Oryzias latipes: one gene and its partner. The protein of the gene in region 1 interacts with the protein of each later gene in a pairwise test. Links are inferred from orthologs where the notes say so. Each region holds a gene or a part of one and is shown on either strand. Other genes may lie near its edges. The genes, in order: exosc10 and mphosph6.

Region 1 (3,819 bases):
CTCTAACTCTTTTTGCTGCTGTTCAATGCTCTGCAGTTTCCACCTTTTGCTGATCTGTCAGGGTGCCAAAGTAAGCAAAGCACATTAAAAACAACAGCGGTCAATATATTTCACAAAAAAGCTCTTCAGGTACCTCAAATATTTTGGAGGATGGGTCAAACTTGGCATTCTTGTTGACATGCACATCGGTGGAAGGTAAATACTGGAATAAGAAGCAATAAATTATTATTCTGCCAAAGCACAAATAAAGAATTGTGAAGGTTAAGCTCTTGACATTTCCTACCATTCTAAAAGGATTTTCAAAAGACTCAATGATTCGTCTGGCCTTCATCTGAGCTACAGAGAGGGAGTTTTGCTCAGTGTGTACCTCGGGCTCCTTCAAAACAAAGCACTGATTAAAATAATCCACTACAGTTTCAGACAAATTGATTAGCTGGAGAACTAAAACTTTCTACCTGGAAGAGGGTTATTTTAGCTGGCGCTAAGAGGCCACTCATTTTCTGCTCATCCACATCCATTTTGCTCTCATTTTCAGAGAAGAGTCTGCCCTGTTTAACCAGTGCTTCTACAAGTCAAAAAAACAAAAAACATTTAATAGAAAGAAAAATAAAAAAAAAGACTTCCAACATCCAAACATCCCACTTAAGCCTACCGTTAGGTGAAAAGTATGGCAGTTCACTCTCAGATGCCCTGGATGTATCATGCGGGCCAAACAATGTGACCTCCGGCTGAAAAACACATCATATCTTTCAAATTCAAATAATCACATCTAGGTTTAAGCGGATTTTCCAAACATTTTAATTGTTGCCAACCTTTTTCACAGGTGTCAGGCCTTTCTTTTTTTGAGCAGCAATCTCAGCCTGTGTTTAAAGAAAGTATTGCAACTGAAGTTTTGAAGGATATGAAAACAGTCCCTGCGTCCCAATGCTGCCTCCAGTTTCTCCTCACCTTCAGGAGGGGCATTTCTCGGGCTTGTTGCACTAGCAGGTGTAGCTCATTGACTTGCTGCCTCACCAGCGGGGGTACGGGGTTACAGCAGGCAATGATGCCCTGAGGTTCCCTGAGAAAGTGAGATAGAGACAAAAAGATCGGGCATAAAAAATAAAGACTAGCCGAAAAATCAAATCTAAATTGTAGTTGACTTACTTGGGCAGTTCCTCTGATATTTTAATCATCATGTGAATGGGAAGCGTGTATCTGTGCTCAAAAACAACAACAGAAACAAATTTTTAAACCTGCTAGAAAATTCTGTTTCTTTCAAAATCCTGTGGATGAGCTGAACACGGCCTACCCGGTGCTTTCATCCTCCTGCCTGGCCAGCTTGTCCCTCCAGGCAAAGAGCAGTCTAAAGGCAGTGAGCTGCTGGGTGTTAAAAGACCTTTTCTGCTTCCTCAGAACCTCCAAATATGAATCCTCCGTGAACACGGGCTTCATGTATTTCTGTTACAGAGAAGCCAGAGACACATGGGTTCACATCAGACTGTTATGAGGGAGAAATGGGATGGAGGATTTAGCTTTTTGGATTTTGTACATTTGTGAACTTTTCCAAAAACCCTGCTGCACAGCAAAAAAATAAGACATAAAAAAATAATAAAATCACAAATGATTTTTTTAAATGTGAATAAAGTTCTGTAGTGTCCCTATTAACTGTATATGAGACCAGGACTGAGTGACCCCCTCCCTCCTCATGTTCCAAACAGATAGTACTTGCCGGTTCCAACTAAGCTATCCAGTCACTTATATTCTTTCTAATCCTAATATTTTTCTTTTTTAATGGCAAGTTAATTAAGTTGTAAACTGACTAATGAGATGCTTCAATAAAAGTATCCGGTCTCACGTCTTGTTCGACAGATTTTCCCGAGTGTGGACTTCCAACAAGCTCACACCTGATTGGTGAGGGAGGTGGCCATAGAAACAGTGACCAATCTGACTTCCTCATAACCCCTAAAAACCCCTAAAAGATTATCTAGTGCCTTGGATTTTAACACAACACATTTGTTCAGTCTTTTTGAAATGCTGAATATGACATTACCCGTTTGCCAAAGTAATAACCTTTATATGACCATTTTACAAAGACTATTTATGAATCCACCGTGTTCTGATGATGAAAACTGATTTATAAAATATATTGAACTACTTTTTTCTCAAATAACAAATTGTCCAATGCATTGTGGTCTATATTTGCCAATCTAGTGAACATCCGGGCTCACTAGTTGTTTGAAGAGATGCCTGGGAAATTTCTAGGGCACTGGATTCTGGAATTTAGATTTGGACACCTCGGCAAAATGCCAAACGCCCTACATAATGAACTAAGTAGTGAGGGACACAACCAGTCATAACTCTGTGATGTTGTCTGGCTCCAACATGGCGACATTCATGTCGCCCCCAAAAAAGAAAAAATAGGTTAACCCACTTTACCTCCTTTTGTTGGAGCTGGAAGTTAGCCATTTTCTATGGGTGATGTCACATTCACTCAGTCCAGTTGTTCCATACAGTCATTGGTTGACACTTCAATATGACTATCAGAAAAAGTTAGATTTTGCAAACCGTCAGTGAAATGTCTTTGCTTTTGTTCCAGACAGACTGCAGGAGGCCCGGCTGCCCGTGGTTAGAGTCCAACAGCTGTGCCCTCACACAGTCATAGATATAAAGGAGATAGTGGGTGTCTGTTCGGGCGTACTGCACCATCTCATCTGGTAGGGGGCTACAGGGACAAACCACAGGATAATATTTATTTAACATTTTTTTAAAGTATATCTAAAACCGATTGCATCTTTACAGGTAAAAATACATTTTTTTTCTAATAAATTTACAGCGTAGGAAAATAGGGGGAAAAAATGAGCAACAAACCGAATCCTCCAGTCGGCCAGTTGGTATCTTTTGTCCGAGTCCACATTGCAAAAGTGTCTGAGTAAGTGGTCAAGTGAATTCCTGGCCAGGTGGAGAGCTCGGCTTCCCTGATGCGTGTCAAACAGGTTGACCACATACAAGCCAAAATCTCTCTGGAGCCACTCGATGTCAGAATCAGCTCCATGAAACACCTGACAACAGCAACGGACCACATTTATCAGCTTTCAGGGAAAAGAGAACGACCCCCATTCCTACCAAAAAACATTAGAACTTTCTACAAAGCACATGACATTTTATCTGAATCATCTTCAAAATTCTTTTTTTCTTGCCGACGCCCACACACACTACACTTTTCACAGATGTCCAACAATGCGTGAGTCATGTTTGCTCCCACACACAACAGGACACGCACCAACTTTGTTAGACACGCTCTGAGGGAACACGCAGAGACCGGCTCCGAGCTTTTTCATCCGACTATTATTTAACACAGGATTTGAAAAAAAGGATGAAAATTTCATGAAAGAAAAAGAGCAAGAACAGCATTAAGATTTGAGAATCAATGCTTACCTGAAAATGAGACAAAATAGCGACACAGAAAAATTTTACATGGGAGAAAGTCACTAGTAAAAATAAATACCGATAAATAAAAATCAAAAATTGCACATCCATGAAAACTTTATTGCTGACAAAAGGAATAAAAACATGGAAATCTATGTTTGTTTATTAAATGTTTCCATTCTGCTGATTTTTATAAAAAATGTTTTAACCCTTGGTTGAAGTCATCTTTATCGAGGGAAACATCCATTGAGAATTTGTTGATACACGTTAATAAAACAAGCATTAAACGATTAAAAATCTTTATTGTTTTGAGAAAGAAAGTCAGTAAGTTCTCTGCATCAAATGACTCCAAATCAAAGTAATGCTGCTGGTTGGATTTCCTGGGTAAACTTCATTTAAAAAAATAAAAGA
Region 2 (3,919 bases), on another chromosome or scaffold:
CCGTTATACCATAACCATTTTATTACATGATTTATCAATATCCGGTTTCTAGCTTTTATCAGACAGAATTAAGAATCTTGAAATATCAGTAAAGCACATGACAAAGATGAATTACTTAATTGTAATGTAAAAATAACTATTTTAGAAATCAACAGAATATTCAACACTTTGCAAAATGTTTGGCATATCAGTGAAAAGCCGTAAACGGTTGAAGAGTAACGGTAGTTGAAAGAATCTGTTATTTAGATGTGACTGGCAACATCTCCAGTGTTAAAGGGTTCACTTGTAGAGGCTCCCACTGGGTAACGTCACTAAGCTACACTTCATGACGTTAGGATGTAGACTTCCACAGCTTCTCCCAGTGTGGCCTACATCCCATTGACAAACCTCTTAAATATATTAGTGATGTCATAGAATGGACGACAGCTAATTTTCTCAAACTCAACAAGGACCAAACAGAAACTGATCCTTGGGCCTGAAGCCACACTCACTTCAAAACTCTGGTATAAATGTAGGAAGATCTTAACTTTAAAATCCACATATCAAACACAACTAAGACTGCTTGTATTCCTTTAACAATGTTGCCTTTTATCATATCTAGACGGGACTTTTGTGATGCTCTTTTAATCTATGAATAGATTCCAGCTCGTCCAGAATTCAGAGCTCACATCCCTCCTGGCTTCCTGTCAGCCTCTGGATGATTTGAAGATTCTCCTTCTAGTTTATAAATGTCTTTTTGGATTGGGACCTTCCTATTTATCAGATCTAGGTCCTTCCAAAACCTCCACAACTCTCAGATCCTCAGGTTCTGCTCTCTTATCTAAACGAAAAACTGAGGACCAGGACCCACATTGAGGCCTCATTTCAGTACCGTGGTCCTCATCTGTGGAACCTGAAGATCTGAGAGTTTCTGCATCTGTGGAGAGTTTCACTGTAAATGTTCATGTAAATTCTCAAAAACGTCTTCATTTAATTCAATTATTTATTTGGGTCTAAAGTATTTCATGGCTTATATTGTTAATCGTTTGTACTTTTATTACTCTCTTTATAGAGCGCCTTCTCAACAATAACTAGTAGCCACAGTTTTCTACCATCTTATGTTCACCTCTTGATTGTTGCTGGTTTTATGACTTTTTATAATTTCAACCTGTTTGTTTTTTATGTCAAACACCTTGTGTTCTAAGCACGTTGAAGAAAGACGCTCCACAAATGAAGTGTTTGATGGATTGAGCCAAATGAGTTCTTTATCATCAGCTTAACTACCCGAGGATGGAGTAGAGTTTAGACCACTACAGAGCAGATTCCATTCTCTTCCTGCGGCTGTGTAGCCACGCCCCCAAAGCTTATATGATCGACATGAAGCGGGTCGACGTTTTAGACCCGGTTCCAGTCCTGGCACCAGTCAGGCTCTGGATCCAGAACTGGAACCGATCTGTTGAGCAAAGAGCAACCCTATCAAATAACATCTGAGGAGGACAGGAGGAAGAGGAAGTGTACCTCAGAGCCATCTCCTCATCTGTGATGTCTGTCTGCATGCAGCTCACATCCTTCTCCTCTTCATCTTCATCTTTTGGATTCAACAAGGTCATCAGTTTCTGTGAGGACAACTGACAGGTCAGAGCACACATGCACACGCACGTGCGCATGCACACGCACGTGCGCACGCACACGGTTGTAGGTTGAACCTCACCTCAACCTCTGGGTTAAAGCCTCTGAAGGAGATCCGGCCAAACTGCAAGTCCTCACAGGGAGTGAAGCTCTCCTCCTCCACCAGCACAGTCCTGATGAAGGAGCAGAGGTCACCATCATCCACACCTACAGGTGTTCACACCACTGCAGGCGAGGCGTGCACGAGCACAGACACGTACTCTTTGGTGCAGAGCTCGGGCAGGTCCAGATACCAATGCTCGTCGCTGATGATCCTCCTCTCGTCTTCCTCCAGCTGCTTCTTCGTCTCTGCATCCAGCCCTCTCTGCATGAACTGCAGCCACAGATGACACTTTCATGCATACGCCTACGTGCACGCTCTCATCTGCAGTACAGTATACCTCACGAGAGTCAGTCCACCCAGGTGATCACGTGTCTTAAAGGTTTACAATGCAACTATGTGAAACCGAGCACCAAACTAAATCTAACCCACCTGTGGTTCGTCATTCTTAACCTATTAACTAGTTATGACCACCTTTCAGTCGAAAGCAGACCAACCAAAACAGTCAAGCCCCAAACTATGCCCAGCTCTGACAAATTCAACCAGAAAGATCCTTGAATGGAGATAAGACAGGCCCCTGCCGAAGGATGAAGAACAAGAGGCAGAATTATGGACACGAACATCAGTTCTGGTCCATTTCTCTCACTCTGGAGCCAACAAAATGAATCGACGCTAGCGGCTCGCGCCGCAGCTAGCTAATGGTGCTAGCATGTACCTTCATGCGCAGCAGATTCTTGGAGAGTTTCACTCCGTCGGCAGCCATCTTTCTCCGGTTAACACAAACAGACTATCCGCGCTAAACTAACCTTAACTGATTCAACCTAACCGTAGGACGTCGTTGGTTTGGTTACTGCAGCAGAACAAACGCCCCACGCGCCGGAAAAGACATGTTGTCAAAAGTCGAGCATGCGCAATTCAGGCAGGCCTGATTAATCAAGCACCGAGGAATCGAGGCTTTTCCTTAAGTTATGTATTTATCCTACAGGTAATTTTTGATCACAGAACAGTGAAGTGCAAGCTAAAGAACAGGTGAATCAACGGAAATGCGTTTGATGTGTAGTTTACAACAAAATAAACACAACACATTATAGATAAACAGTAATAAACACGACAGTCAACAAAACCCAACGGGTCACGTGGCAAACATTCCAAAAACTTTATTTGTAAGTCGCTTTACAACAATCGCTGATTGTACCGAAGTAGCCTACATTTTGTAAAAACATAATTGAAAATTAATTTAAAAGATAAGCATGTCATATCATAAGACGAAAGATAAAACACAGGTCAATAATTTATTTTTATTTTTTTCTGTTTTGACTTAAAAAGAGAGACGTGGAACTCTAGAAAACCTTTAGTTAAAAGTACCATAGTACACTTGAAGTTTATTTTAGTAAGATACTTGTATATGCATTGAGCAAATCTACTATAGGCCTAGTAGTGTAGGAAGTATGCTAACTGTATCCTTCGTCAGACTTATTTGGAACATCTTAAGTTTACAATAAAGCATAGAGGTGGTACAAAAAATGTCAACTTCAACAGTGACATGTGATCAGATGAGGCAAGTGAAGCTCGGCCTCACTGGTCAATGTGATAAAATAGAAAAACGTACACTAAGTAAATATGATTTTCCTCTGATCCGTATTAAAGACACATTTTCAGTTGACTCGACACATTTCCCACAGTTTCTGAGGTTAAATTTGCAGAATTTGACTGTTGTGCGCTCACATAGGGAGCAGAAACTCCGGGTGAGGCTCTGGAGCGCTTCGCGTCATGTCTGACTGCAGGACTCAGTTGTAACAGAGAGTACGGTCAGAGCGATGACTGTAAGGGCGGAGAAAAAGCTTCCAGGGAGGCGAGCCTCGCCAGCGTTTGAAAATGAATAACAATAGATGGGTTATTTTCACCATAAACATTTGCTAAACTTCCCTGCCAAACGTGTTATGGATATGTCACAGAGGCGGCCATTTTGCAATAAGCAATACAGTAAAAGCCATTCTGCTGCCCCTAGTGGAATGATGATGAACTGCAGGGTAAAAGACATGGAAAGTTTGTATCATGCTAATGCAGTGGCGGTTCTACACTAACTTACTCCCTGGGCGAGTAACCCCACAGGCGCCCCCCCCCCCCCCGCACACATACAAAATTTGACAACATCCTGTTGTGTTACCTATCTTCTTTTTAGCAATTTTACATAAAAAATGCATGCATTTT

What was found.
Region 2: the proteins of exosc10 (region 1) and mphosph6 interact in binary tests that used the Homo sapiens proteins (3 or more experiments, as listed by UniProt). The link is inferred for Oryzias latipes from reciprocal best matches to the Homo sapiens genes EXOSC10 and MPHOSPH6.

The regions. Positions count from the first base shown.
Region 1 is NC_019865.2:9,469,922-9,473,740, reverse strand, and holds part of exosc10 (exosome component 10), read right to left. Parts: intron 3,042-3,819; coding exon 2,851-3,041; intron 2,705-2,850; coding exon 2,548-2,704; intron 1,441-2,547; coding exon 1,292-1,440; intron 1,198-1,291; coding exon 1,147-1,197; intron 1,061-1,146; coding exon 949-1,060; intron 861-948; coding exon 813-860; intron 729-812; coding exon 653-728; intron 566-652; coding exon 456-565; intron 377-455; coding exon 284-376; intron 203-283; coding exon 134-202; intron 55-133; coding exon 1-54. UniProt on the Homo sapiens protein: Catalytic component of the RNA exosome complex which has 3'->5' exoribonuclease activity and participates in a multitude of cellular RNA processing and degradation events.
Region 2 is NC_019864.2:5,685,190-5,689,108, reverse strand, and holds the start of mphosph6 (M-phase phosphoprotein 6), read right to left. Parts: upstream 2,657-3,919; 5' UTR 2,472-2,656; coding exon 2,424-2,471; intron 2,383-2,423; exon of another isoform or gene 2,141-2,382; intron 2,033-2,140; exon of another isoform or gene 1,982-2,032; coding exon 1,869-1,981; intron 1,782-1,868; coding exon 1,691-1,781; intron 1,596-1,690; coding exon 1,498-1,595; intron 1-1,497. UniProt on the Homo sapiens protein: RNA-binding protein that associates with the RNA exosome complex. Involved in the 3'-processing of the 7S pre-RNA to the mature 5.8S rRNA and play a role in recruiting the RNA exosome complex to pre-rRNA; this function may include C1D.